Linked DNA regions of Elephas maximus indicus. The protein of the gene in region 4 interacts with the protein of the main gene of each other region in a pairwise test. Links are inferred from orthologs where the notes say so. Each region holds a gene or a part of one and is shown on either strand. Other genes may lie near its edges. The genes, in order: HNRNPF, NTAQ1, cone-rod homeobox protein and TLE5.

Region 1 (7,946 bases), on a different chromosome or scaffold from region 4:
TCAACCACCTGTATAAAAACATTACACAATCAGTGACATCTGAACACTGGGTATTTGATACTAAGCAGTTGTTTTAATGTGGTTGTTTTTAAAAATCCTTAGAAGTACAAGCTCAAATATTTATAAATTAAAATGTAAAATAAACTAGGCTGGGCCCTAATCTCTACCTGCCCATCAAAAAGAGCCAGGCTCAGGGCAGCTGTCACCGGGGAAAGGAAGCCCTGTTAGGCCAACCTGAGTCCTTGTCCCAACTGTGTCCCTGGGCAAATAACTTTTCTCCCAGCCGCCGTTTTAACAGCGTACCTCGCTTACATTGTATGAGTATTAGAAAATGCGGTTAAACCTACAGCTGAGTGCCTAGGCCTAGTAAGCGTCAGTTAACGTGGTTCTAGAAAGAGTACAGCGCCACAGCTCAGGTGATGGGGGAGGGGTTGGCGCGATGTCACCGCCTCCGACGCCGGGGCCTTATCTCCACTAGGGGCAGCCACTGAGGACAGGCTAGACACTGAAGTCTCCTCCTGTCCCCATAGCCCCTCCAGGCACCTACCCCGAGAGGATCGAGTCTTGAGCCTTTCTTTCCTTCACGGTTTGGCCACACGCGAGGGGAAACCCTCCCATTTACTCCTTCCCTTAAATCAGTTCATAGTTTTACTTGAATATTTTATGTTTAAAGGAAAGCTTTTAATACTAGCCTTAACTGAAAGAAAAAGTTACTTGGAAGCTTAAAAAAAAAAGGAACAAAAAAGTAAAGATTATCAAAGAAAAAAATAGATTACAACATATAAACAATACGTTCAATTTATAAATATGCACTGGGTATACAAGAATAAAAGATGCTCAAAGCGAAGCATGGATTTAATGTCAGTAATTAATCTCTCCCAATACTGATTAAAATAAACCTACTCCTTATCTTGAAATGAAAAAAATTTTGTCTAAAAATGAGCACCGTAAGTATCACTTTTCACTGATACATCATATCTTTTGTCTAACCGAAGAGCCGGGAATATTTTCACTTACTAAAAACTTTCAAAAACACGCACTGAAAATATATTACAATCAGTTTCGGTGTTTTTTTTTTTTTATAAAAGGTCATCTGTAGTTTTCGCAACTCTCCCCGCGCCAGCAGGTTGCGGCCCCGTCCAGGCCGGGCCACCCCGGGCGGTCCCACCTCGGTCGGCCACGAGCCGCAGGCCCTCCCGCCCTCAGAGTCCAAGCAGCCGCCAGGAGCCCCAGAGCCCCGCAAGCAGCTGCGGAAACTAGAGGAGCGAACCCGCCCGGCCCTCCCGCGGCCGAGTTACTCGCGCACCGGCCGGCCGAGGCGCCCCCAGAAGTCATGCGGACGGAGGGCGCCACGAGGGAGACGGCGCGGCCGGGCGCCCTGCCCCTCCCCCACCAGACGGCGCGGCCGCCTCTTCCGGCGGGAGCCAGGCTCCGGGGCCAGGCGGCTCCTCCGAGCGGCTGCGCCGGCCCGGGGCCTCCCGAAAGGACCAGGAGCGAGGCCTAGAGTGGGGCCGTCCCCGAGCCCGCTCCCCGCGTGGCTCCAGGCCGCGAAAACCGCGCGTCCGCGGGCGGGCCGGGCGCCGGGGCGGGGGCGGGGGTCGGGTCGGGTGGGGGCGGGGGCGGCCGGCGCCATCATGCTCATCAGCACCCGCGTCTGTTATAGCAAACGGACTCGCATGAAGGGAGGCGCCAGGCCCAGGGTCCCGCAGGCCGGCTCGGCAGCCACTGTCCCGGCGGGGAGGGAGCGGGACGAGGAAACGGAAGTGGAGACGCGAGGAGACCGCTCTGCGCTCAACTGAGGCGGGAAGGGCGACCAGAGCGCGGGCTGCGGCGTCCGCGAGTCTCTTAGCAGAAAGTACGTTCAAAGATACCAAGTAAAGGAGAAACAAGGAGCTGACTGAACTCTCACCAAAACTGCGCTCACGAGGCAAAAGACAAGCACCAAAGATTTACATCCGAAAAACGGTGCCTCCACGGAACAGCGAGACACGCAGAGACGGAAGGGCCCAGAGCGGGGCCCCTGAGGAGAGAAGGCTCTGGAAAAAAGTCTCCAAGGGCTGAAAATGGTTCCCGGGAGAGCGAGAGCTGGGGAGGAGGGCGGAGCTGCCGTTTCCCACAGTGAAGTCGTACACTTGAACCCCCATCATGTGCTGCCTGCCTCAGAAGAACGAACTCCTTCCCCGACTACGGCTCCGCACCCCACAAGTGGCGGGCCTGGCTACTCACCCTTCCAGTCCGCTCCGCCAGCCGCGGCCTTACCGGAGCCTTCCGCACACTCTCTGCTCTCCGCCGCGAACTCAAGCCCTTCCCGCCGGGCCCATGGACCCCGCCTACCGATTGCTAAATCCCCCACAGTCCCCACCCCTTGCTGGCCCGTCCCTGCCGCCCCGTCCCCGGGTGTGCGCCCTTGACCTCAGACCCCGCCCCCACGCCTAATCTCGGCTCCGCAGCCCCCACGCCCAATTCTCCCAGTTCCCCGCCCCCGGGTGAGCGCCCTGACCTCGGGCCCCCCACCCTGTCCCGCCCCAGGTCGCCCCTCACCTCGGGCTCGGAGACTCCACGCTCTCGCTCTTCACATCCGGCACTTCCCTCGTCCTGCCTGAGTACCTAGAAAAGGGTGGAACGCGGTGGACTTGGCAGTTGTACCAGAGGCAGTTGAGGCTTGTTTACCATCACCATGGAAACCCCTGCGAGCGCGCCCGGACGCCCCCCCAGGGGGCGGGGCCAAGCGCGCGGGCGGGCACGAGCTTACAACTCCCGCCGCGTCGTGCGCACCCGCGGCTTCCGGGAGGCCCCGATACCATCGGCGTCTCCGGCCCCTGCTCGGCCCCACACCCTAGGCTCCTGAGAGCGGCAGCCCTGGAAGTCTGCACCCTCGCCCGTCTGCCGACTGCTGGCGAGACCGCGGACTCGTCCCCCTCGCTGATCCCCACCTTCAGCTCTCGTAAGACGCGACGCAGTCCTGGTTCCACCGCGGAGCCGGAAGAAGGAAAGGACCAAGGCGGGGCGGGGCCTCCGGGGCGGGCATCTAGGGGGCGGGGCCTCGAGGGCGCCATTGTGACGTTCCCGTAGCGGAGCAGGCGATTGGCCGTGCGGGCGTGGGGCGGGGCTGATGCCGGCGGAGACGAGAGACGCTGAGGCACTCTGGTCCAATGACCTGGACGGTGCTCCTTGGCTCTGCCCCCTCCCTGTGGACTCGACCCGCTCTCCTTCCGCGCGCGACCGGGGTTTAGCGGGCTATTCCGCTCGCGAGGCCTCCTGGGAGCTGGGCGGGGCTGGGGCCGCCAGCGCGCCATTGTGACGCGCCCAGAGCGGAGCTAGCGATTGGCCTGCTGGGGCCGAGGCCTCGGGGGAGCCACTCCGGAAAGCGGCCGCCCGGAGCAGGGACGTTGTGGGGAGAGGCGTAGCGGGACGGGCCAGGCCCTACTCAGGGGAGGGAAGTGGCCCACTGGTCACTGCCGAAGCCCTGGAGGATACGGACTAGGTTAAAAATTATCCCCGATGAAAACAAAAAAAAGAGCCCAAAGGAGCCCTGCAGTGAATAGACGCGTGAGAGAAGAAAATAAGTTTTGCTGAGAGAGGAGACAGAACACCTGAGGCGTAGTAAAGGCGTCTTTGAGTGCTAGGTTTTAAAGCCGGATTAGTCAGTCTGACAGACGTTGCCCACGTGTCCCGTGGCTCGGAATCACAGAGCCCCGGAGCCGATGGACTGAGTGGTTAATGGCTACTCTGCCTGAGGCAGTGAAGCAGATTGTCTTGATCGAGAAAACCCGTTGCCGTTGAGTCGATTCCGACTCATAGCCGGAAAATTAAATAATTTGAGGTGTAATTCCGGCTCATAGCGACCCTATAGGACAGAGTAGAACTGCCCCATAGAGCTTCCAAGAAGCACCTGGTGGATTTGAACTGCTGACCTTTTGGTTAGTAGCCATAGCACTTAACCACTTCGCCACCAGGGTTTCCGATTTTCTTGACAGGTTCCACTTTTGGAACTGCCTTCATAAAGGGAAGATATAAGGTATTTATCAACAGGGTAAGCAGATTTACAGGAAAAAATTAAGGGAGTGCTTGGAATTGTGTCATATTATGAGTGGATGGCCATAATGAAGAAAGGAGTGCAGTTAAAAAAGAAGCTGGCTCCAGGGAAAAAAATAATAGAAAATGCAGGTGTCAGAGGAGGTGCAGATGTGAGGAGGAAATTAATTTGAGGTATAATTCTGACTCATAGTGACCTTATAGGAGAAAGTAGAACTGCCCTATAGGGTTTCTGAAGAGTGGTGGATTTGAACTACTGACCGTTTGGTTAGCAACCAAGCTCTAACCACTGCACCACTAGGGCTCCTCAAAAATTAAATAGGTATTCTTAATAAGAAACCCCAGAAAGACTCCCTTCACAGCACATGTTGCAGAAAGGCACACTCTAGGTCCCACAAAGAGACGGGACTTTAAGGCTGGCTCATAAACAAAGCCCTTCTCTGCCTCCCTTTCCCATCTGAGAGAATGAAGGAAATGAGAAAGCAAATTGAATTGTCCAGTTACAGTATAGGCCCCGTCCAAAGGAAATATCGCTCCTTAAGACCAGGTGCTCTATTAGGCAGTGGCGAGGGATAAGATCCCTGCCTAATGGAGTCAGAAGTTGTAATAAATTTTCCAGGGTTTTATCCCATTTCAGCTTTCATTTTGCAGATAGGAAGCAGGCAGGTTTAGCAGTCATAGCATGGTCTGGTTAACTTTCTGGACCAACACAGAAAAATGCTCCTCTGAAGCAGCACTGCCTGCCCCTTGGTGGTGCAGTGGTTAAAGCACTCAGCTGCTAACCAAAAGGTTGTCAGTTCAAACCTACCAACTGCTCCTCAGGAGAAAGTTGTGGCAGTCTGCTTCTGTAAAGATTTACACCCTTGGGAACCCCATGGGGCAGTCCTACTCTGTTTAGGATGGCTGTGAGTTGGAGTCAACTTGATGGCAGTGGGTTTTGGTTTTGAAAGCAGCACCAGTGCTTATTCACGGAGTGCATCAGCATGAAGGCTGGACCCTTGGATTAATTACAGTTCATTCAGAGGGAACAGCCAAACAGCACTTTCATGTGTGTCAAATAGTGAAAGAGGGGTTACGGCACTCCCCGTGCTTGATGGGTATTTGCTTGAGCTGGTTGCTTTGCACAAGAGCAGACCGCGGTGGACTGGGTAACGTTGGTCAAGTTGGGGACCGTTCCCTTGCGCATTTCCCAGGCAGGCTGGGCTAGAGACTGGAGTCTTGGCATGCACATTAGTGAAATGAGTTGGACGTTAGTGACTCGAGGTCTAGCTCTGTCTCTATTCCAAGTCTTCAGCGTTTTGGTCCAATCATGAGTTTTCCCATTATTAACCGTTGGATGCCTTTACCTCTGCAGACCCTCAGGACCGTCAGAAAACTTCATGTGGATCAAGATGTGCTGGGGGTTGGGGCGGCTTGCAGTTTTCCGTCTCCAACTGTCTCTCTCTCTAAGTAACTAACTTTTTGAAAATGATGGAATACTTAACACATAGGGAAAGTTACAGATAATATTGTAACAATTTTTCAAAGTGTTGTCATTTTGCCCTATTTAGTTGTTTTTGGATAAAAGATTACAGATAAACCAGTGATGTGATTTTTAACTTACTATAATACAGTTTTTGAATGAAGAAATATTTCAAATTTTAAGAAATTTTGGAAACAGTATTTTGGGGTTTATTTATATTAACTGACTCATGGTGACCCCACGTGTGCCAGAGTAGTGTGCTCCGTAGGGTTTTCAATGGCCGATTTTTTGGAAGAAGATCGCCAGGCCTTTCTTCTGCACTGCTTTTGAGTGGACTCGAACCTCTAGCCAGGGGCTCCACCTTAACTTTAAACCAAAAACTTATTGCCATCGTGTCTATTCTGGCTCACAGTGACCCTATTGGACAGTGGAGAACTGTCCCACAGGGTTTCCAAGGCTGTCATCTTTATGGAGGCAGCCTGTCATATCTTTCTCCTTTGAAGCAGCTGCTGGGTTTGAGACACTAACCTGTTAGTTAGTAGCTAAGCACTTTAACCACTGCACCACCAGAGCTCCTTCCACACTAACTTAAAGTAATTTTGGTCTTTATCCTTGATTCCTGAGCAATAGGAAACCCTGGTGGCGTAGTGGTTAAGTGCTACGGCTGCTAACCAAAGGGTCGTCAGTTCGGATCCGCCAGGCACTCCTTGGAGGATGTGGGGCAGGTCTACTCTGTCCTGTAGGGTCGCTGAGAGTCGGAATTGACAGCACTGGGTTTGTTTTTTTTGTTGTTGTTGTTTCCTGAGCAATAACTCTAAACCCTTGGAATTTCTGAGAAATTGAAGTGCTGTTTTTATCTGTAGGAGCCATGGCGGCAAGTGGCTAAAGCCCTCACCTGCTATCCAAAAGGTCACTGGTTCGCACCCACCAGACACTATGAGGGAGAAAGATATGGCAGTTGGCTTCAGGAAAGATTTACAGCATTGGAAATCCTATGGGGCAGTTCAACTCTGTCTTATAGGGTCTCACTATGAGTTGGAATTGACTCCACTGCAGTGGATTTGGTATTGTTTGGGTCGTTGTTGATAGGCCTTCAGACCACACCTGAGAGTTTATGCTAATGTGTGACTCAAGTGAGGGGATTGCCAAACCAGAACGACCACTTTGTGGTATCAGCTGACCTCAAGGGAGACGGCCGTTTCAATGAACCCTGACAAAGGCTGTGGCCACTGAAGTTCCGTGGGCTTTCCGGTTAATGAAAGTGGGGGGTAACTAGTCCCTTCTCGGGACATGGAAGCTTCGCATTGGAGACCTTCCTAGGCCTCCCTTTATGTGTCTTTTCTTTGTGCCGATCCTGATTTGTATTCTTTGTAATAAAGTTGGGATCATGGTATAGTGCTTGCTGTGAATCGTTCCATCGAATTCTCAAGCCCAAGGGAGTAGTGGGAGCCAGCAGGTCAGAAGTGAAGGGGCTGAGAATGCCTGAGCTTATGGCTGGTATCCTGAGGGTATAAAGGGCACCCCCGGATTTGTAGCCAGCAGGTCAGAAGTGATGGGAGCCCTGGGGAGCTGGGGCTGGCATTTGATGTCTTGGGCAGCCTTGGCAGTCTTGAGGACTGTGTCCGTTAACTTGTGAGGTCTGACCTAGCTCTGGGTGGTTAGGGTTGGAGGAAGAAGTGCTGCATGGGCAGCTGATGTCAGAACACAGGTGGCAGAGAAGTGAAAAGTGGGGATTCTGTTTTATGTTGATTATTATCCTTATAAATATATAGTCAGTGGGAAGCACTGATGCGTTGGGAACAGGGAAGTAATAAAAATTTGACTAACAGACCATTGCTTCCTTGCTACTCTAGCTTGTATTTCAAAACCACCATGGTTGGATGGGTGGGAGGGAGCCTGGCACTGAGGCCTGGGCCTCAGCCCCATATTCCCCTCTGAACGCCAGCCTCCTCCTGCCTCTCCTTCCCCAGGGCAGAGTTTCTGCTCCCCAATGGCAAGGGAGCAAGGAGGCCAGAGCTGGCCAGTGGCTCCCGAGTCTCACTCTGTTGGGAAGTAGGGGACAGAAGTGTGGGCCCAGGCCCTGTGGCTTCCAGCCCTCCCTCTGAGAGCTAAGTACGTTCTAAGCATTTTATATTATCTATGCTTTTGTCAGAAGTTCTGTATTTTTTATCACTTGGAGTTTATTAAGCAGCAGTGTGTCCTGCTAACATTTACATTTTGAATACTTTATGAAAAATAAATTCCAAGTTTTATCATGGAAAAATGGAATAAATTTGAGATCTTCATAATAATCCCTCTTACTAATAATGTTGACTTTGAAAGTTTCTGACCTGCGACAGGAAGAAAAAAGTTCATACGTAAAAAGATGAATTGGAATAAAGTGGATTGGTGGAATAATGTGGCAATGAGAGAGGGAGGAGAAAAGAGAAGGGGTAGGGCTTCTCCTTGT
Region 2 (7,445 bases), on a different chromosome or scaffold from region 4:
GAGCCAGGCTCTGCCTATAAATCCCCATTCCTAAATTCACAAGCTAAGTGGCTGTCATGGATTGAATTATGGCCCCCAAAAAATGTGTATCAGTTTGGATGGGATTGATTCCCAGTAGTGTGGTTATCCTCCATTTTGTGGTTGTAATTTTATGTTAAGGAGGATTAGGGTGGGATTGTAACACCCTTATTAAGATCACATCCCTGATCCAATGTAAAGGGAGTTCCCTGGGATGTGGCCTGCACCACCTTTTATCTTACAAGCGATAAAGGAAAAGGAGGCAAGCAGAGAGCAGGTGACCTCATACCACCAAGAAAGGAGTGCCGGAAGCAGAGTGCATCCTTTTGACCCGGGGTCCCTGCGCAGAGAAGCTCCTAGTCTGGGGGAAGATTGATGACAAGGCCGACAGAAAGAAAAACTTTCTCCTGGAGCTGACACCCTGAATTTGGACTTTTAGCCTACTTTACTGTGATGAAAATAAATTTGTTTGTTAAACCCAACCACTTGTGGCATTTCTGTTATAGCAGCACTAGATGACTAAGACAAAATTTGGTACCAGGAGTGGGGTGCTGTTCTAACGGATACCTAAAATGTGGAAGCAGTTTTGAAACTGTGAATGAATAGAGGAGCAGCAGCAGAAGAGGATCGGCAGCAGCAAAGAAACTGCAGCAGCAGGGAAGTGGCTGCAGCAGAGAACCAGCAGCAGCAGAGACCTGGCAGCAGCAGAACCAAGAGACCAGTGCAAGATGGCACTGAAGCAGACCAACAGAGAGAGAGAGCTGAGTGCCTGTGCACAAGAGGCTTCCTAGAGGAGTGGGGTGCCTCCGGGCACTTACCAGTGGAGCTACAGAGCTTTGGAACACTTGCCCCAGAAGGGCAGATGTGGGCGTGAGGCCCTAGGAGCCGAGAAGCCAAGAAACCAGGAAGCAGAAGCTGAACAGACAAGGAACACAAGAAGCCAAGCTGCCTCAGTCTCAAAAGATATGGCCAGGACCTCTGGGATTTCAAAGGATGGAGCCATGGCCTCTGATGTTTCTAAAGGCGGAGTCACCACTCAGATGGACTAGGAGAATGGCGTGCCTAAAGCTGAGGGAGCAGAGTTGCTGTCCCAGTGGGCGTGGAAGGTGGAGCTGAAGCCCAGGGCAGAGGGGCCTCCCCTCAGGATCCAGAAAGTGTGGCCAATACCTAGAGTCTAGAGGGCGGAGCCATTTTGTAAATGGTCTCAGAGAACAGAGGATTTTTTCAAAGACTTTAGGGCTAATATAATGTGTTCTGCTGACTTGTTTGGTGCCTGTTATCCCTTCTTTTCCTCCAGTTTCTCCCATTTGTAATGGAAATGTCTAGCTTGTGCCTGTTCTGCCATTGTACCTTTGTCAGCAGATAACTTGCATTCTACATTTCACAGATGAAGAGGAATTTTTGGATGCTGGACTTGGAGTTAAGACTTGCTATGATATAATGGGATAAATATGCTTTGCATGCTACAAGGATGTGATTTTTTGGGGACCAAAATGAAGAATGTCATGGATTGAACTGTGTCCCCCAAATATATGTGTCGACTTGGTTAGGCCATGACTCCCAGTATTGTGTGGTTGTCCTCCATTCTGTGATTTTAACTTTAGATTAAAGAGGATTAGGGTGGGACTGTAACACTCTTACCGAGGTCACATGCCTGATTCAATATAAAAGGAGTTTCCCCAGGATATGGCCTGCACCACCTTTTATCTCTCAAGAGACAAAAAGGAAAAGGATGCGAGCAGAGAGAGGGCACCTCCTACCACCAAGAAAGCAGTGCTGGGAGCAGAGCGCGTTGTTTGAATCCAGGGTCCCTGCACAGAGAAGCTCCGAGTCTGGGGGAAGAGTAATGAGAAGGCCGACAGAGAGAGAAAGCCCTCCGCTGGAGTTGATGCCCTGAATTTGGACATTTAGCCTACTTTAATGTGAAGAAGTAAATTTCTCTTTGTTAAAGCTATCCACTTGTGGTATTTCTTTTATAGAACTGGATAACTAAGACGGTGGCCTTAGGCAAATTACTTGTCCCCCTCTGTACTTCAATGTCCTCATTTTAAAAAATGGGTGTAACAACAGTACCTCAAACTACTTGGCAAAAGTCAGCCATTGAAACCCCTGTGGAGCACGGTCCTACCCTGACACATGTGGGGTCAAGAGTGGGAATCAACTCAATGGCAACTGCTTTGTTTGTTTGTTTTAATAACATTACCTGCCAGTGAGACTCAAAAGAATTAGACGACATAAACAACCCAGAACAACGCTTGGCATGTAGCAAGTACAATGTAAGTGTAACAGTTATTATTGTTACAGCACAGTGGTTAAGACCATGGTTTCTAGTGCAAGAGGGGATGGACTGGATTCTTGGCTGCTATTAGCTTGGTAACCCTCGGAAAATTGCTTTGAACTCTGTGCCTCTATACTCTTAAAATGGCCCTCACATCGATCTGAAACCATACAGGATTCCACACAGTAGCTTGCAAGGGTTCTCTGCGCTCCACCCTCAGCCTCTAACTTCCCCGTTCCCACTAGGATCTGCTTAAGTCCAGCCAAAAACCGCCAACCAGAAGTAAGGCACCACCACCGACTCTGCCATTCCTGACCAATCCCCCTCATCCTACTGCCCACGCTGTACTCCAGCGGCAAGGGCTGCCGTTCCCGCTCCCTCCACTCCGAAACAGGAAAACCGGCCAGTGGAGGCCCCGAGCTCCAGAGGAGGCCCCGAGCTCCAGAGGAGGGGCCTGGACGAGGCGAGCCCGGCTGAGGCTGGGAGATTCGGGGACCTGCGCCCGCTCCCCTCACCAATAGCAGCTGCTGTAGACACACGCTTCCCGCGGGGGGCCGGCCGGCTGGTACCACGAGGCGGCGGCAGAGGGACCATCCCCTTCCATGACGGCTGGCCGGGGCCGGGGCCGGGGCCGGGCCTCAGGCAGACAAGCTGCACCGATCCAGAGGGCTCGCGGGGAGGAGCCACGGGAGGAGCCTGCCCTCGTTCTTGTTGCGAGAACCAGCGGCCGGGTGGGCGGAGTCCAGGGCGGAGCGGTCAAGGCTAGGAAGAGTGGGCGGGGTCAGGGCAGGGCCTGGGTAGGGCTAGCCGCCCAACCTCTCGGCGCGCGGAGCCTGGGGCGGGGTGGGCGGAGCAGCTTCCGAGTGGTGGAGCCGGGTGAGGGGGGCGGAGCCCAGGGCTGTGCGGCCAGAGCTCGGGGCGGGGAGAGCAGCGCAAGTTCCCGGCGCGCGCAGGTCAGGGGTGGGTGGGCGGAGTCAGGGGGCGCAGTTTCCGGGTGGTGGAGCCAGTGGGCGGAGCTCAGGGTGGGGAGGATGGACAGTGCTGGTTCCTTCTGGGTGGAGCCAGGGGTGAGGTGGGCGGATCCGGAACGAGGTGAGCGGCGTGAGTTAGCGGTGGGTGGAGTCCGGGGCGATGCTGACGGTGCTTGTTCTGTGTAGGTGGAGAGCGGACCGGAGGGTGGACTCCTAGAGGGGCGGAGCTGGCGGCGCGGGTTCCTGCTGGGCGGGGTCTTGAGCGGGGACAGGGGTGCTGCCAGGGACAGTAACGCGGGGGGTCCTGGATGCCTGGGCAGAGAGAGGTCACCAGCGGGCGGCTGAGGAGAGGAGTCGGCAGGGGAAGGCTTGGAGTTGCTAAACCTGCAACCTGGGTGGCGCTTCGCTGTGAGTTTCCCGGAGGTGTCTGAGACCCTTCCCCAACCGGGAACGGGGTTGCCAACTTCGGAGAACTGTATGAGACGCCAAAGACTTTCGACGTGTGCAAATGAAATAAGAGAACCTTTGTGTGAAAATTTAAGCTTTAGGACTTCCAGCCTAGAGTCACTGGGAGCCTGGGGGAGAAGAGAGAAGGAGGAATTCCAAATATTACCACATCAAGGACAGTTTTAGAGAGGGATATCACCCCAAATCAAACCATATTGTACCTTAATTTTTTTTTAATTAGGAAGTCTGTATATACTGACTTGGAAAGACGTATTGATACCTTGATATATTAAGTTAAAAAAAAAAGAAAAAAAGTTAAACAGTCCGCATGGAATCCTTGTGTTAAACATGTATTTGTTTCTTTTTTTTAATTTGTACGTTAGATGAAGGTTTATAGAGCAGATTAGTTTCTCATTAAGCAATTAATACACATTGTTTTGTGACACTGGTTGCCAACCCCATGATATTGAACATCTATTGGATTGTTTGCTGCCAATATTGGAGCCCTGGTGAGACAGGGGAAACCCTGGTGGCATAGTGGTTAAGTGCTAGGGTTGCTACCCAAAGGGTTGGCAGTTTGAATCTGGCAGGAGCTCCTTGGAAACTCTATGGGGCAGTTCTACCCTGTCCTATAGGGTTGCTATGCGTCAGAATTAACTCGATGCACTGGGTTTGGTTTTTTTTTTTTTTTTTGGTTTGGTGAGACAGGTAGGGTTAACTGTGCTGGCAGAAGGAAAGCACTGTTAAAAGATTACCATCTAGAAGTTGGATAAATAGGAACCACACCATGTCAACATGAAATAAGGCTGAAACAACCTGTAAACTACTTTCTCCTTCTTAGTGTTTTTCTAGTCCCTCCCCCCTTTACAGGCTCAGAAGAACAAAATGCGGCCACTGTTTACCCTTCCTTAGCCCTCCAAAGATGGTGATGTAGTGCCAAAGATCAGTGCGCCTGCACTATAATCCCATAGTAAGTGATGCCAAGAGCTGCTGAGAGGACTCCACCTTGAACATCAGCGGGTTCCATCTTGGATTCCAGATGTGCCGGCAACTTAATTAACATGCGCCGCCATTCTGAGAAGTATCTGCCCCTTGAAGGAAGCCCACTAAATATTCGTTACTTCACTGTCTCCACCGAACCCATATAAGCCCTAGCTTTGCTTCCCTCTTCAAGTCAGTATTTTAGAGAGGCTTAGATCCCTGCTGACTCCTTCTGCTTGACTCAAGCAAAATAAAGCTTGTCGAAGGTAAAGTTTGTCTTTTGCGTGTATTGGTACTCAGGAAAAGGCAAGGACCCTTTGTGTCAGATTGGCAATTGGCAACATTGTGGCGCAGTGGTTAAGAGCTAGGCTGCTAACGAAAAGGTCAGCAGTTCCAATACACCAGCCTCCTTGGAAATCCTACCTGGCAGTTCTGCTCTGTCCTGTAGGGTCGCTATGAGTTGGAATCAACTCCACAGCAATGGGTTTGGGGTTTTTTTGGTATGGAAGGAAAGATAGCAAAGTGTTAAAACAGTATTTGTCTCTGGTAAATCCATGCCCATTATCAAGGACTTTCACTGTACAGTTTATAGCCTTCTGTATTGTTTATATTTGCAATGAACATATATAGCTGATCAGAGAATGTCTCATTATACAAGCTGAAATTCTCAGTTTGGTCTATAGGCCGTCTAGAGTCAGATTCTCAAAACCTCATGAGTCCTAAAGGCCGAAAGACCTAAAGACTTTGAGCATAGGTTCTTGTATCAGTTATCAATTTATTGCCTCTTAGTTCCCAATGCACACTTCAATATACAGTGAAACCTGTGAGAGCTGGAACTCTAGGGGACTGCCTTATTTTTCCCAGTCTTGCCAGTTCTCCACCTGTGAAAGAGTGTAGTCATACCACTTTTCTATAGCTGTCTATTGGTGAAAAATTTTTGAGTTTTCTTTCTCTGACAGGTTTCCATCTTACACGGGTTCTGGATTCTGTAGGTTTTACTGTATATTCTTGTTGTTATTAGGTGCCGTCGAGTTAGTTCTGACTCATAGAGACCCTATGCACAACAGAACAACACACTGCCTGGTCCTGCACCATTCTTACAATCCTTGCTGTTTGAGCCCATTGTTGCAGGCACTGTGTCAATCCACCTCATTGAGGGTCTTCTTCTTTTTCAGTGACCCTCTACCAAACATGATGTTCTTCTCCAGGAACTGGCTCCTTCTGATAACATGTCCAAAGTACGTGAGATGAACTCTTGCCATCCTGGCTTCTAAGGAGTACTCTGGCTGTACTTCTTTCAAGACAGATCTGTTCCTTTTTCTGGCAGTCCACGGTATGTTAAATATTTTTTACCAGCACCATAATTCAAAGGCATCAATTCTTCTTCAGTCTTCCCTATTCATTGTCCAGCTTTCACATGCATATGAAGCAATTGAAAATACCATGGCTTTGGGTCAGGTACACCTTAGTTTTCAAGTTTCTTTATTTTTTAACACTTTAAAGAGGCCTTTTGCAGCAGATTTGCCCAATGCAATACTTTGTTTGATTTCTTGACTGCTGCTTCCATGGGCATTCATTGTGGATCCAAGTAAATGAAATCACTGACAACTTCAATCTTTTCTCCATTTATCATGATCTTTGTTTATTGGTCAAGTTGCGATGATTTTTTTCTTTATGTTGAGATGAAATCCATACTGAAGACTGTAGTCTTTTATCCTCCTTAGTAAGTGGTTCAAGTCCTCTTCACTTTCAGCAAGCAAGGTTTTGTCATTTGTATACTAAAAAAAAATCAAACCCACTGCCATCGAGTCGATTCCGACTCACAGCGACACTGTAGGACAGAGTAGAACTGCCCCATACGGTTTCCAAGGAACACCTGGTGGATTTGTACTGCTGACCTTTTGGTTAGCAGTTGAACTCTTAACCACTACACCACCAGGGTTTCCCATTTGCATGTTAAAAAACAAACAAACCCTTTGCCTTCAAGTTGATTCTGACTCAGAGCGACCCTAAAGGACAGAGTAGAACTGTCCCATAGAGTTTCCAAGGAGTGCCTGGTGGATTCAAACTGCCAACCTTTTGGTTAGCAGCCAAGCTCTTAACCATAACCCCACCACGGTTTCCCACCTGTATATAAAAAAAAAAAAAAATTTTTTTTTTTTTAGCAGGTTATTAATGAGTCTTCCTCCAATTCTGATGCCACCATTCTTTTTCATATAGTCCAGCATCTCAGATTATATGCTAAGCATACAGATTGAATAAGTACGGTGAAAGGATACACCCCTGACGCACGCTTTTTCTGATTTTAAACCATGCATTATCACCTTGTTCTGTTCAAACGACAGCCTCTTGGTCTATGTACAGGTTCCTCATCAGCACAATTAAGTGTTCTGGAATTCCCATTCTTCCCAATGTTATCCACAAAATTTATTATGATCTACCTAGTCAAATGCCTTTGCATAGTCAGTAAAACACAGGTAAACATCTTTCTGGCATTCTCTGCTTTCAACCAAGATCCATCTGACATCAGCAATGATATCCCTCGTTCCATGTCCTCTTCCAAAATCGGCTTGAACTTCTGGCAGTTCCCTGTTGATGTACTGCTTCAAATGTTTTTGGATTATCTTCAGCATAATTTTACTTGCATGTGATGTTAATGATATTGTTTGATAATTTCTACATTCCATTGGATAACCTTTCTTTGGAATGGGCATGAATATGAATCTCTTCCAGTCAGTTGGCCAGAAAAT
Region 3 (7,492 bases), on a different chromosome or scaffold from region 4:
CATCCATTCAGTCACACATATATCCATCTATCCATCCATCAGTCATACATACATACATTTATCTACCCATACATACATAATATCCATACATCCATCCATCTGTGCATGCATTCAATCAGTTAATAAGCATGAATTAATAAACTATGAAAAAAAAAAAAAACCTATTGCCACTGAGTTGATTCCGACTCATAGCGACCCTACTGGACAAAGTAGAACTGTCCCATAGGGTTTCCAAGGCTGTAAATCTTTATGGGAGAAGATTGCCACACCTTTCTCCCACAGAGCAGCTGGTGGGTTCAAACTGCTAACCTTTCAGCACTGTGCCACCAGGAATCCTTTAATAAACTATAGACATTGTTAACCATCTTCTGCTCCTTTGTGGATACCTCAGTGGAACTGACATTCTAGTTGGGGGAGACAAATTATAAATAAACAGTAGGTAAGTAAATCATATTGTATTTTTGGAGGTGATAAATATTATGGAAGGAAACCACTGAGCAGGATAAGGGGGAGCAGAAGGACTGCAGTGGTAGAAGGTTGCAATTTTACGTGCAATAGTCAGTATAACCAAAAAAAACCTAACCCATTGGCGTTGAGTTGATCCCGACTCATAGCGACCCTATAGTCAGTATTGTATAGGTTTCATTAATAAAACAGCCCTTGAACAAAGACTTAAACAAAGTGATAGGGCAAGCCATGTGGTTATCTGAGGGATAAGCATTTCAGATAGCAGGAACAGAGAGTGCAAAGGTCCTAAGGCAGGCGAATGTTCAGAAGGCACATTAGAGGAAGATCCAGGGGTCAGTGTGGCTGGAGTAAAATGAGAAAGGGTGAGAGTGGCAAGAGAGATCAGTAAAATAATGGGAGGAGGCTTTAGGCCACTTCATAATGTTGGCTGTTACTCTATGACCCCTCCCTCCGCCCTCCCCTGGGTACCAGAAAGGTCCATGGAAGTCTTATATGGTCCAGGAGGAGCCCAGGGACCAGAACATCCCACCTGAACCCTGGACTCAGGCAGGTTGATCTTCAGAGCCACCTCCTCACGGGCATACACATCCGGATACTGGGTCTTGGCAAACAGGGCCTCTAACTCCTCCAGTTGGCTCCTGGTAAAGGTGGTCCGCTCCCGCCGTTGCTTCCTTGGGGCGCCTGAGGTGGGAACAGGAACATGAAGCGCTCAGGCAACCCAGCCTCCCACTCTCGTCCTCTATGGGTGCCAGGACAGCTGGGGTGAGGCTGTGAGGTCGGGTGGGGACTCAAGAAGCCTTTTCTGGGTGTCTATCTGTCCAGACTATGGATGCTCCCATTCCCTGTCCTTCTAGACCTCATTTTGTCCCCCAGAAAATGGGGTACACTTTTTTCATTTTGGGGTTCAGGCCTCATCCTGAGAGAAATTGGTGTTAGCCGTGTAAGGAGGCACGTGAGTTTTTCTTTCCCCTTCTGAAATTTATTATGCACTAAAACTTATGCAGAGAGCCCTGGTGGTGCAACAGTTAAGCACTCGGCTGCTAAACGAAGGAATGGTTGTGGTTCGAACCCACCCAGCAGCTCCGAGGGAGAAAGATGCGGCATTCTGCTTCCATAAAGATCACAGCCTTGGAAACCCTATGGGGCAGTTCTCCTCTGTCCTATAAGGTCGCTATGAGTCAGAATCAGCTGAACAGCACACAACAACAACATCTTAGTACTGCGCAGCTGAAATATGACATTGCTGATGTTCAACCAATTTTAGTTCATAAGAATGGCGATTCCGTGTAGTTCAACATAATACAAAAAGCAGGTATAAGAATAATGCCACAAATGACCGAGTGCTTACTGGGCTTAGAAATAAAGCACTGCTGCTGCTGCTGTTGTTAGGTGCCGTCGAGTCAGTTCTGACCCATAGCAACCCTGTGTACAACAGAACAAAACACTGCCCGGTCCTGCGCCATCCTCGCAATCGTTGCTATGTTTGAGCTCCTTGCTGCTTTGCTAACAGATATAAATTCTTCTTGATTCTCCATCCAGGCTGCTGTCCCCACCCCCACCCTAGAGGGAGCCGCCATCCGAAATTTCTGTGAATGTCCTTATGCTTTTCCACATCCCTAAGCAGTGAATTGTCAACAATCCATCTGTCAGTTTGTCTTACTGTGGTGGCTTGTGTGTTTCTATGATGCTGGAAGCTATGTCACCAGTATTTCAAATACCGGCAGAGTCACCTATGGTGGACAGGTTTCTATGGAGCTGCCAGACTAAGACAGGCTAGGAAGAAGGGCCTGGTGATCTCCTTCTGAATATTAACCAGTGAAAACTTCCTGGATCATAACAGAATATTGTCTGACTGGCTTGCTTTGGACACATCATCAGGAGGGATCAATCACTGGAGGAGGACATCATGTTTGGTGAAATCTACAGCCAATGAGGGTGAAGGAGCCCCTCAGTGAGAAGGACTGGGACAATAGTCACAACGGTGGACTCGAATATGCTGTCGATCGTGAGTATGATGTGGGACCGGGCAACATTTCATTCTGTTGTATGTAAGGTCATCATGAGTCTCAGTCAACTTGACAGCACTGGGGGATGCGAACAGTTAAGCGATCAACTGCTAGCTTAAAAGTTGGCAGTTCAAACCCACTCAGAGGTGCTTTGGAAGACAGACGTGATCTGCTTCCAAAAGGCCTTGAAAATCCTATGGAGCAGTTCTAGTCTGCACACCTGGGGTTGCCATCAGTAGCAATCAACTCAACAGCAACTAACGACTTCTAAGTGACACGTGGTATTGTTTTGCATTTGCAGACAGACACATACAGCTGGTGTATGGCCTTGATGTCACCCCTGCAGGTGCTCATCAAAGAGAGCAAGAGACCCCCAAGAACCCCCCCCAAGAGGTGGGGTCAGCCTGGGGTGGCCTGGATGACTGTACTCACTTGGGTAGGACACAGCCTGGTGCATCAAGTCCACACTGGGACCACCCAGGGCCAAGGTGTTGACGGAATAGTGGGGCCCCGGGTTCATATACGCCATCATGATCTTCCAGGATGCTGGGCTCCAGGTCAGGGGGCCTGCAAGAGAAGAACAGGGAAGCTCAAACGCTTGCCCATGACCTGAGTCTCTGCTTAGTTATATGACCTTGAGCAATCGATTTCGCCTCTCTGTGCCTTAATTTCCTCAACTGCAAAACAGCTCTGTGTTTCCGGCTATTGAAGCCTCACTGAGGTTTCAGCAGAGAGCTGAAGACATCATCCAAAAAAGACAAGCTGCTGGCGAGTTTCTTCTGCTTCATGGCAACCCCATGACATATGCGGTTGAAACACCACATTGCTCACGTTTAGCCTGTAGAAATACCAATTCCATATAGTTCAACGTAATACAAAAAGCAGTTAAAGGATAACGCCACAGATAACTGAGTGCTCACTTTGTAAACCAAGCCAAACCAAACCCGTTGCCCTCGAGTCGATTCTGACTCACAGTAACCCTACAGTCACTTTGCTTGGAAATAAAGTACTGCCGTTGTCCTGTGCAGAGCTGACTCCGCGGCAACGGGTTTGGTTTTATGCGTACGGTTTATAAAGTCACCTGGAACGCTGAAATAGCGGAAACAGAACCAGCCTTGTTCAACCTCAATTGCAAAGGTGCGCATCAAGCCACCCAGTTTCCTCTGCCCTGTGCATGCGCACGCGCACGTCCGCAAGTGACCTGAAAAGCAGCGTAACTATTGACTTTGGGGTTACAAAAAAATGTTAGCGAGGAGGCAGAGTCACAAACACGGAATCAGTGTGTACTTGGTTGTTGTTGAATGCCATGGAGTCGGTTGTGATTCATAGACCCCATGTGACAGTAGAACTGCCCCCTAGGCTGTTATTTTTAGGTGAGCTGTGGTGGCGCAGTGGTTAAGAGACCCACCGCTAACCAAAAGGTCAGTAGTTCGAATCCACCAGCCACTCCTTGGAAACCCTACGGGGCAGTTCTACCCTGTCCTATGGGGTCACTAGGAGTCGGAATAGAATCGAACTGACTCGACAGCAACGGGTTTGGTTTGGTTTTAACCTTTACAGGAGCAGATCACCAAGTCTTTCTCCCTCAGAGCCAGTGGGTGAGTTCAAACGGACAACCTTTCAATTAGCAACTGAGTGCTTAACCGCTGCGCCACCAGGGCTCCTTGTGTGTACATTACCCTTAAAAAAAAGCCTGATTCTGCCACTTCTTTCTCCAAGATCTTTTCTGCCTTATGACCACAGGAGAAGATATTCAGCCTCACTCATCACCAGGAGACGAGGGTGACCACTGGGACAAGGGGCTTCCTATGACGTGGGGATTTCAGCGCTAACACTGGAACAGCCCACAACAAACCGTGATGGCTGGTCACTGTAAGGGAAAGGCACATTAAAACGACAGCAAAGGGACCGTTTTTGACCTATGAGTTGGGCAAAGATCAAAATAGTTGCACTTGTGCACTGTGCACAAGCAGTTTGAGATGGGTGCCTAACCCAAAGGTTAGTGCTTCAACCCCCCACCCAGCGGCTCCATGGAAGAAAGGCCACTTCCATAAAGATTACAGCCTAGGAAACCCTAGGGAGCAGTTCTGCTCTGTAACATACAGGGTCACCATGAGTCAGGGGCTGACTCAACAGCAGCTAACGACAACAGCAGTATTGACTTTCCACTCCTTTATCGGGTGCGTGGCAGAGGAAATTGGAACATACTGGGAGCTTTTATTAAAGTAAAGCACCATCTTTCATTTGTTCTGGCAATTCGCCTCCAGGATGTTCCTCAGTGTCCTCACTGTGAAATGGGGATGAATCTAGCATTTCTAGGTTGTTGTGAGGATCCAATGTTTAAGGTGCATAAAATAGCACCCGATGCACAAAGCAAGTGCCCTACAACTGTTAGACGCCCTGGTGGCGAAACAGTTAAGTGCTCGACTCCTAATCAAACGGCTGATGGTTCAAACCCACCCAGAGGCTTCACGGGAGAAAAGACCTGGCCATCTGCTCCCATAAAGATTACAGCCTAGGAGACACTTCGGGGCAGTTCTTCTCTGTCACATGGGGTTGCCCTGAGTCAGAATCATCTAGATAGATGGCACCCAACAACAACATATAACTCTTGGCGATTATTTTTGTCATTGTTATTTGCAAAAAGAGGTTTGTAAATACTAGGATTTCTAATGAAACATATTTATAATTGACAAAATGTGGAGGCAACCTATATATCCACCCAAAAAGGAAATAGCTAAGTACATTATGGCACATCTATGCAAAGGGATGCTGTGAAGCCAATAAAAAGAATAAGGTTGTTCGGCATGAACTGATTTAAAAAGATCTCTAGTACATAGCTCTACCAACAGTTAAGCACGAAAGGTTAAGCGCTCAACTAGCTGAAAGGTTGGCGATTCAAACCCACCCAGAGGCACCTTGGAAAACAGGCCTGGCCATCTGCTTCTGAAAGGTCACAGCCTTGAAAACTCTATGAAGCACAGTTCTACTCTGACATGCATGACACTCACGACACAAGTTGACAACAACAGATCAGGAATGACTCTTTCCCACTCTAAGCCCCCTTTCTCCTCCACATCCTCCAGGTCTCAGCTGAGACATAATTTCCCAGGGAGCCATGCAATACTCTAAACTGGAGACCGCACACACACACACACACACACACACACACGCACACATTTTCTCTCCCCTGTCCTTCAGGACATGGCGTATGTTATATATAACATATTTCTCCCTGAGATAATCTTTAAACCTTAGACCAAAAATATCCCCTGAAGTCTTCTTAAAACCAAACAATAGCTTAGCTTAACTAGCAAAGAATGTCTGCCTTGAGCATTGTGTTCTTTTAAGAACCATCTACTATATGGGATCAAATTGACAACGGCAACTTGAAAGGTTAGATAGGAAGCTTAGGGGACAGTGAGTTTATGTTAATGGTGGGGAGGAACAATTCGAAAAAGGAGGATGAGAATGGTTGTGCAACTCAAAGAATGTGATCAATGTCACTGAACTGTACAAGTAGAAATTGTTGAGGTGGTGTATGGTCTGCTGTGTATATTCTCAAGAACAAATAAAATAAATTAAAAAAAAATAATGTATTTCTATGTTTGTTTACCTGTCCGTTTCATTCCACTCTGTCAGCTACCTGAGACCAGGGACTGGGCTTATCTCATTTCCTGCGGTATTCCCAACACTCCCAATAAAATAATAGAAAAATAAGTAAATGAATAAAAAATGGATGGCATCTATTTTAATACCTGTTCCCTCCATTCCTTCTCATCCCTGTTCTTTTCATCCTTCTCTTGACGGATATTTTTTATTTATCATCAATTGAGTTTCTCCTGTTCATCCAGTAAATGTTTTTTGAGTGTCTACCATGCCCTGGTGTAAGTAAACCCATTCATTATCACATCACCCCGATTCATTTTCCTCAGCATTCTTAATACTGTCTGATGTTTCCTTCTTCATTGTCAGTTCTCTGACTGAAACCTAGAAATACAATTCCACAAAAACAGAGATGCTGTGTCTTTGTTCTTGCTATATCCCCAGTTCCTAAAGCATGGTGGTGGTGGTATTAGTTGCCATCGGTCAATTCCAACTCATAGCGACCCTGTGTGTTACAGAGTGGAATTGAGCTCCATGGGGTTTTCTTGGCTGTAACCTTTATGGAAACAGATCACCAGGCCTTTCTTCCACAGAGCCACATTTCAGTTAGCAACCGAGCACTTAATCATTGCACCATCAGCATTCCTTATCTTCAAGATGGCTGCCAATAATCCTTGCCTCCTGGTATCCACGCCCTTGTGTGATATCCTCCCACGCTGATTAGGGCTGACCTGTGTAACCTACAGGATATTTCAGGAACGACAAGAGTGTGACTTCTGAGGCTATGTTGTAAAATATATTGCAGCTTCTGCCTTGCTGTCTTGGCTCATCCATTATGGGAAAAACCAGCGGCCATGTTGTGAGGATTCTCCAGCCTCGGTCAAGCCTTCAGATGAGACCACAGCCATGGTCAGCACCTGAATGCAACCTTATGACAGGCCCTGAGTCAGAATCATCCCTTTAAGCCACTCCTGGATTCCTGACTCTTAGAACTTGTGAAATAATAAATGTTTATTGTTTTAAGCTGCTAAATTTTGGTGTAATTTACACATCAATAGATAACTACTACACAAGTCTTCTCTATGCAAAACCAAAAAAAAGCCTGTTGCCATGGAGTCGATTCTGACTCATAGCGACCCTGTAGGAAAGAGTAACCCATAGAGTTTCCAAGGAGCCACTGGTGGATTCGAACCGCCAACCTTTTGGTGAGTAGCCATGGCTCTTAACCACTAAGCCACTAGGTTTCCTTCTCTATGCAGGATGTTATTAAATTCTCAGCTCAACCCTGAGAAGTAGAGACTGTATTACTATGTTCAATTTTATTTTATAAAAATAAAGTATATTTTATAAAAATATATTTTATTTAAAAAATTTTTATTATAATTTCTTTGCTGCTGTTGTTGAGAATATAC
Region 4 (7,410 bases):
ATTTAGACCGAAGCAAGTAGGGGGTCCCCACGGACTGGCTGTCCCTCCATACCCACCTCAGCCACTCCCATCATACCACAGCCAGAAGGACTGGGTTCATAGCTCAGCCCTTCCATGCTCTGTGGCCCTGAGCAAATTCCTCTCCCTCTCTGAGCCTCGGTTTCCTCCTCTGTTAAGTACCAACCTCCCAGGGTGGGGTTGTACAGATTCAATAAATTAAGACAGTAAAGCTTGGATAACACGGCCTGGCATACAGTAAGCACTCAATAAGTGCTCACGGATCTTACCAGGCTGACCAGGTCACAACATCCCACAGTTCAGAGGTGATCCACAGCTGGAGTTTCTTTGCCCCCCACAAAGTTTATTTTCTTTAAAAACGTGCGTTCGTTGGCAGTTTAAAAAAAGCAATCTTACTCGAAACGCTGGGTCTCTGGCCCTTCTTGAGGAAGGCCTCATTCTGTCTGGTTGATCCTGTGTGTGACCCTGACATGGCAGAACCCCCCAAAGTAGAGCAGGACATTCAGGCCCAGTAGATGGAGAACCCAAAGCTGACAGAGGGGGTCTGGCCTGCCCTCTGGCCCTCGGCCTCTGGGATTGATGACCATGAGGTGGGCCTAGGTCAGGTGAAGCCCCCAAACCCTCCACATGGCAGGACTAATGCAAAGTCCCTGGGGCCTGTCTGGCGAGCTGCTTCAGACCTTTCAACTCCCTGTGCCTCAGTTCCCTCATCTCTAAAATGGGTACAGTAATAGGACTGCAAGAATGAGTGAACAAAAAGATTGCATATTTGTTAAAATAAAAATAAATCGCTATTCCCCTTTCTTCTTGCAGAAAACCCAGGATCCTTTGAAGACCATTTTTGTGGGTGGGAAAACAGGTCCAGAGAAAGTCTCAGCCCCACTAGGATTTCTGGCCATGGGACCCACTTCTAATTCCCAGGTGAGGACCCCTCCATAGCAAAAGGGTTGAGAACTTGCATTCTTAGCCCTGGAGAGACTGGGTTCAAATCTAAGCTTCATCACTTCCTTGCTGTCTACCCTGAGGCAATCTCTAACCTCTCTGAGCCTTCGTTTCCTGATGTAGAAAACAAGGTCAATAACAGTTCCTTCTGCTTAAACCTGACACATGGCAAGCCCTTCAGAAATGTTAGAAGACTCAATTCAGGAGGCAGACCCTCCTTTGAGAATCTGCCAGGAGCCTTCTCCCCAAAACGGCAGAGAAAGAGAAGACTGCAAAAAAAAATTTGGGGGGGTATCTTGGACTCGGAGGGTCCTTCTTGGACTTGGAGGTCTTTTACCTACTGAGGACTGGGGGAGGGCTCTGACGCCAGACAGACCTGTTTTTGGGTAAGTCATTTAACTTTCTTGTGCCTCGCTTTTCTCATCTGTGAAATAGGGTCAATTTGAAGAATAAATGTTACTGCTGGCCAAGTGGAGTCCAGGTGGTGCAATGTTTAAGAGCTGGGCTTGCTAACCACAAGGTCAGCAGTTCGAATCCATCAGCAGCTCCTTAGAAACCCTATGGGGCAGTTCTACTCTGTCCTATAGGGTCACTACCAGTCTGAATCCAACGGACAGATTTAGGTTTGGTTTTTACTAGCCACGTGTTTAGGCTAGAAGCTGGCATACATATGACCCTCTATTTCCATATTTTTAAAGTAGATGTATGGGGGTGGCAATCTCCATTCCAGATAACCCCCAACCCCTGGCTCACCTGTGGTACTGGGCCTGCAGGAGCTGAAACTCGTCTTTGATACGATCGCAGGAGTCAGAGGTGGTGAATTTGAGTTGCTGGGGGAGGTGCGACGAGCCCTGTGAGGAGGGGGCCGCAATTCAGGGCCAGGCAGGCTGGGCTGCCTCCTCCTTCCCCGGGGTGACCAGGGGGCGGCTGCCGCCGCAGCTGCAGCGTCCCCCCTCGTGCCCCACTTCCTGGGCCCATGTTTACAGCCTCTGGCGCGGCTGCCGCCCCCGCTTCCTGCCCCCGCCTCTCCCGGGGGAAGCCGAGGGGGTGGGTGGGCCTGGAGCCGCCCGTCCCCCGCCACCCCCGAGGCTGTGGGGGCGCGTTTTAAAGCCTGCCCTTGATGGGGGGCAGGATGCGCCCCCTACCACCCCTCCAAAGCGCCCAGAGAAGGGGGTGCGCATCGGAGCGCCCCAACCACCTGGAGGGCCGAGGCCTCACTGCAAAGTCCCCTTGGGGGAGGGGCGTCTCCCAGCAACCATAATATTTCAGGGGTCCACACTCCAGGTCCCCAGAGTCCTTCCCCAAGGCCACGCTCTTCCGGGAGGATTGCCCCCCCCACTCCAGGCCCCCCAAGCAGCCCCAGAGCAAGGGGTGACCAGCAGGGTTCCCGGAGCTCCCAGGACCAGGCCAAGACCGCCTACGGACCGGCCTGGCTGGGAAGGGGGGGGCCCGGAGCTGGAGAGGTACAGGAAAGGGGGTACAGGACTGGGGAGCTTCGGGAGATTGGACTGGGAAAGTGTGGGGGGGCCCGGCCCGGAAGCTGGGGGGGGCTGGGCCGGGGAACTGGGGAGGGTGCACCAGGCTAGGAACTGGGGGGGAACGCCGGGCCCGGGAACTTGGGGGGGGACCAGGACCCGGAAGCTGAGGGTATCAGGCCTGGAGTAGGGGCGCAGCGCGCTGGGAGCTAGGGTTTGGGGCGCTGGGCCCAGGAGCTGGGGGAAACTGGGCCCAGGAAGTCGGGGTTGTGGGGGAGTGTAGGGCCTGGAGCTGGGGGTGCCAGGTCCGGGAGCTGGGGGGGTGCAGGCCTGGAGGTGGGGGGGGGGTGTAGACCCAGGAGCTGGGGGGTGCAGGCCAGGAGCCGGAGGGGGCCGCGGCGGGCCGGGCGGGCCCCGCTTACCGAATGCCTGCTTTGTGGAAACATCATGTCAGTCGCGGCGGGGGGCGCGGGCTGCGCCCCGGCTGTGCGCCCCGGCTCGGGCTGCTCGGGGCGCCGGGCGCCGCGCCTTTGTCCCGGCGCCGATCGGCCGCTCCCGGGCCGCCGCCGCCGCCTCGCGCGCCCGGCTCGCCGCTTCCTGCGCCCCCGCCCGGCCCGCCGCGCCCCGGGCCCGCTTCCTGCGCGGCCCGCCCCGCCCCGCTCGCGCCCGCACCCGCCGCTCCTATTGTCTAATGGCGGCGCCGCCGGAGTGGCCGCGGCCGGGCTGCTGCTGCGAAGGCTCCGGCTCCACCTGCTGCCGCCGCCGCCGCCGCCGCTGCCCCGTGCGCGCCGCCGAGGGGGGGGCGCGCGCCCGGGGAGCCCTGCGGCGCCCCACCCCCGCCGCCGCCCGGGCCGTGACCTTGCTCTGGGCCTCAGCCCCCGGCCCCCTCCTGGCCCCTTGGCCGTGGCGGCTCGCCGGGCCTCGGTTTCCCCAACTGTCAGAGGAAGGGGCCAGGCTGCCCTGGTCTACACCGCAGGCCCTATAATGGCGCGCCCTGGACGCGTGCCACCCACATGCTCCGTGACCTTGGCACGGTGGCTGGTGTCTCTGAGCCTCAGTTTCCTCAGCTGTGGAAAGGCAAGTGGGAACCTGCGGCCCTCAGAAGAGTCGTTGCTTCAGTGAGCATTTATGGAGCGCCTACTGTGTGGCCAGGAGCCCTAGTGGCAACGGTTAAAGGTGGGAGGTTGGAACCTACCCATCTGCTCTGAGGGAGAAAGGCATGGTTATCCACTTCCCTACAGATTCCAGCCTAGGAAACCCTATGGGGCAGTTCTACTCTGTCACATGGGGTCACCATGAGTCGTAAATCGACTCCACGGCACACACCAACTGTGTGCCATGCCCTGCTCCAGGCGGTGGGGTGGGGTCCAGATGCCCTTGTGGAGATGACATGTGACAGAAAAGAAACAAATCCTGAGGCCACAACCCTGAGGCGTCAGGTGGACATAAAGGGGTGCAGTATTAAACAGGGGGGTCAGAGAGGGCTGCCCTGAGAAGGGGACATTTGAGAAAGACCAGAAGAAAATGACGGAGGGAGCCAATAGGGGCATAGAGGTGGCACGTGCTCAAGGAGGCAGGAATGGCCAGTGCAAAGGCCCTGAGGCAGGACTGTGCCTGGCACACGGGGAGCCTGGGAAGCGATGAGTACCAGCATCACCCAGTAGCCAAGACATTATACCTAAAAGGGCCAGGGTTGGTTTAATGCTTAGTTGTGACCGTTTTAAAATTATTGATTTTTTTAACAAGGTGATCTGCAGTTTTGATTTGCATTCCAAAAAAACAAAAACAAAAAGAAACCAAACCTATTGCTGGCAAGTCGATTCTGACTCATAGCGACCCTATAGCACAGAGTAGAACTGCCCCATAGGGTTTCTAAGCTGTAATCTTAATGGAAGCAGACTGCCACGTCTTTCTCCCTGAGAGCCGCTGGTAGGTTCCAACTACGGACTGAGTGCTTAACCACTGAGTCACCAGGGCATTGGGCCCCGCAAACTGTAGTGGATCATAGAGGGAGGTGAGGGCAGGGAGGTAGATGATACAGGGCCTCACGAGTGTGGGGAGGACTCGGGCTTTGACCCTGAGGGAGGTGGGACTCTTTGGAGGGCTGTAAGCAGAGGAGAAAGGGAGGGAGGGGCCCTGACTCCCTGACTTGGGTTTTGACAGTATCCCTCCGGCTGCCCCCCTAGTGTTTGTCAGTTTGTTGTACCGTGGGCAGGGCGGGGGGGCTTGCATATTGCTGTGATGCTGGAAGCTATGCCACCGGTATTCAGCTACCAGCAGGGTCACCCATGGAGGACAGGTTTCAGCTGAGCTTCCAGACTAAGACACTAGGAAGAAGGACCTGGCAGTCTACTTTTGAAAATAATTAGCCAGTGAAAACCTTATGAATACCGTATCATATGCGTGTGAAAGCTGGACAATGAAGGAGGAAGACTGAAGAAGAATTGATGCCTTTGAATTGTGGTGTTGGCGAAGAATATTGAATATACCACGGACTGCTAAAAGAGCGAACAAATCTGTCTTGGAAGAAGTACAACCAGAATGCTCCTTAGAAACAAGGATGGCGAGACTGCGTCTTACATACTTTGGACATGTTATCAGGAGAGACCAGTCCCTGGAGGAGGACATCATGCTTGGTAAAGTACAAGGTCAGCGGAAGAGAGGAAGACCGTCAATGAGGTGGATTGACACAGTGGCTGTGACAATGGGCTCAGGCATAACAAGGATTGTAAGGATGGCGCAGGACCGGGCAGTGTTTCCTTCTGTGGTACATAGGGTCGCTCTGAGTCGGAACGGACTCAATGGCACCTGCCAACAACAACAACTCCGGCTACCGCATGAACAGACCCTGAAGAGGCTGCTGAAATGACGTGCGCGTTAACATCAGCCCCTAAGCCATCAGGTCAATTCCACTTCATGGTGACCTCATGTGTTACAGACTTAGAACTGAGCACTGTAACGTTTTCTTGGCTGTCATCTTTACGGAAGTAGATTGCCAGGCCTTTCTTCCTCAGTGTGACTGGGTGAGCTCCAAACCGTCAACCTTTCAGTTGGTTCACCCATTGCCGTTGAGTGGATTTCAACTTGTAGTGACCCTATTGGACAGAGTAGAACTGCCCCATAGGGTTTCTAAGGAGTGGGTGGTGGATTCGAACTGCCGACCTTCTGGTTTGCAGGTGAGCTCTTAAGCACTCCACCAGCAGGGTTGATTGGAAACCATCTGCACCACCCACGTATCTTCAGATTGGCTCCTGGAAAACGCTAAAGACAGGGTCCGTTAACTGTCATCATCATCTATGTAGGCGTCCTCCGCTGTGAATGTAACTCCTTTGGGCCTTGAGTGTTCCCATCTGTAAAATGGAGCATCAGAACCCATCTCCTTTCTGGCAGTTAAGGGACTGGGACTAGAGTGACATGAGTGGGCAAAATTGAAGGGGACACCCCCCCAAACTCCAAAACAAAAACCTCAAAAGTCAAGATAAATAATATTTTAATGCAATATTTTTTAAAAATGCAAAGAAATCTGGGATGGACAAAGTGTCAGCATTTTAAAGAAGGCTCTGAGGGAGCCCAGATCGGGGTGAGAAAAGATTGGAGTCACGTAAAGTGCACTCCTGCCCTAGTACTGACGCCTTAAGAGAAACCGAGTGAACTTTTGTCAAATTCTTCCATATTCTTGTGGGGTTCTGGAATAAGCAGACCCATAAATCATACTGGTGAGGGCTAGCTACAGAATTTGCTGGGCCCAGGGCTAAATGAAAATGCAGGACCTCTTGCTGAAAAACATCAAGAATTTCAAGACAGTGATAAAAACCAAAAGCCAAATCCATTGCCGACGAGTCCATTCTGACTCATGGCAACCCTGCGTGTTACGGGGTAGAACTGCTTTGTAGGGTTTTCTTGGCTGTCATCTTTGTGGAAGCAGGTTGCCAGGCCTTTCTTCTGTGGCCCCACTGGGTAGATTCAAACAGAAACCGTTTGCGCTATCCAGGGACCTTAAGATGGTGAGCTCAGAAAGACAGTTTTAAGGGGTCTTCCTGAGCTCGGGGCCCTGGGTGACTTCCAGGTCACAGCAGAGGAAGCTGGCCCCCTCCTCCAGCCCTGCCATAGGGACTGGACCCCTTTCTCCTGGGAAACCACCTGAATCTGATCTTCATCTAGGCAGGCACCTGCCAGTACCAGGGCACACTCCCATCTTAGGAGCCTCTAGCCAGACACAGACATACCCAGCCCCGAGGGCTGGGCCTTAGAGAGGGACCCACAGTTTGCCTTTGAAGAAGGGGAATTTTGAAGAAGTAATTTTCAGAAGAAAGGGGTTTTCAAGTATATAGAAAAGCCCGGAAGTGTGGCCCAAACTATGAAAAATAATACCCCAACCAACATATGTATGCATTTTTATTACACGCCAGGGTCTGTCTTAAGTGCTTGAATGCTTAGATACTGCCATCATGCCCATTTTAGAGATCGGAAAACCAAGGCAGAGACAGGTTAAGAGATTTGCCCAAAGTCACACAGCTGGTAGGTGGCAGGGCCAGGATTTAAACCTATGAGCTCCCTGGGTAACGCAAACAGCTAAGCGCTTGGCTACTAACCAAAACGTTGGCAGTTCAGAACCACCCCAGGTCACCTCGGAAGAAAGTCCTAGTGATCTTCTTCCGCAAAGTCACAGCCAAGAATACCCTATCGAGCATTGTTCTACTCTGCAACACGGGGGGTTGCCAGCAGTCGGGGTCAACGGAATGGCAACTGGTACTGGAGTCCTTGACCACAACACGGCACTGACCTAGGTGGGCCATGAAGCAGGTGTGGTGGGAGGTATTGGCTGAAGAGGGCCAGGAGCCATGACTATACAGGGCCCTGCATCCTGGGCTGAGGAGTTGGGATTTTGGGGAGCACTAGGTAGTGGCGTAGTGGTTCAGTGCTGCAGCTGTGAACCAAAAGGTTGGCAGTTGGAATCCACCAGGCGCTCCTTGGA

Evidence for each region.
Region 1: the proteins of TLE5 (region 4) and HNRNPF interact in binary tests that used the Homo sapiens proteins (3 or more experiments, as listed by UniProt). The two-hybrid records come from large-scale screens. The link is inferred for Elephas maximus indicus from reciprocal best matches to the Homo sapiens genes TLE5 and HNRNPF.
Region 2: the proteins of TLE5 (region 4) and NTAQ1 interact in binary tests that used the Homo sapiens proteins (3 or more experiments, as listed by UniProt). The two-hybrid records come from large-scale screens. The link is inferred for Elephas maximus indicus from reciprocal best matches to the Homo sapiens genes TLE5 and NTAQ1.
Region 3: the proteins of TLE5 (region 4) and cone-rod homeobox protein interact in binary tests that used the Homo sapiens proteins (3 or more experiments, as listed by UniProt). The two-hybrid records come from large-scale screens. The link is inferred for Elephas maximus indicus from reciprocal best matches to the Homo sapiens genes TLE5 and CRX.

What each region holds. Positions count from the first base shown.
Region 1 is NC_064834.1:6,680,491-6,688,436, reverse strand, and holds the start of HNRNPF (heterogeneous nuclear ribonucleoprotein F), read right to left. Parts: upstream 3,019-7,946; 5' UTR 2,934-3,018; intron 2,608-2,933; 5' UTR 2,542-2,607; intron 2,324-2,541; exon of another isoform or gene 2,227-2,323; intron 1-2,226.
Region 2 is NC_064833.1:19,443,637-19,451,081, forward strand, and holds the start of NTAQ1 (protein N-terminal glutamine amidohydrolase), read right to left. Parts: upstream 3,009-7,445; 5' UTR 2,901-3,008; coding exon 2,812-2,900; intron 1-2,811. UniProt on the Homo sapiens protein: Mediates the side-chain deamidation of N-terminal glutamine residues to glutamate, an important step in N-end rule pathway of protein degradation.
Region 3 is NC_064829.1:101,073,872-101,081,363, forward strand, and holds the start of cone-rod homeobox protein, read right to left. Parts: upstream 3,007-7,492; coding exon 2,907-3,006; intron 1,150-2,906; coding exon 998-1,149; intron 1-997. UniProt on the Homo sapiens protein: Transcription factor that binds and transactivates the sequence 5'-TAATC[CA]-3' which is found upstream of several photoreceptor-specific genes, including the opsin genes.
Region 4 is NC_064821.1:6,146,859-6,154,268, forward strand, and holds the start of TLE5 (TLE family member 5), read right to left. Parts: upstream 3,003-7,410; 5' UTR 2,885-3,002; coding exon 2,858-2,884; intron 1,812-2,857; coding exon 1,714-1,811; intron 1-1,713. UniProt on the Homo sapiens protein: Transcriptional corepressor. Acts as a dominant repressor towards other family members. Inhibits NF-kappa-B-regulated gene expression. May be required for the initiation and maintenance of the differentiated state.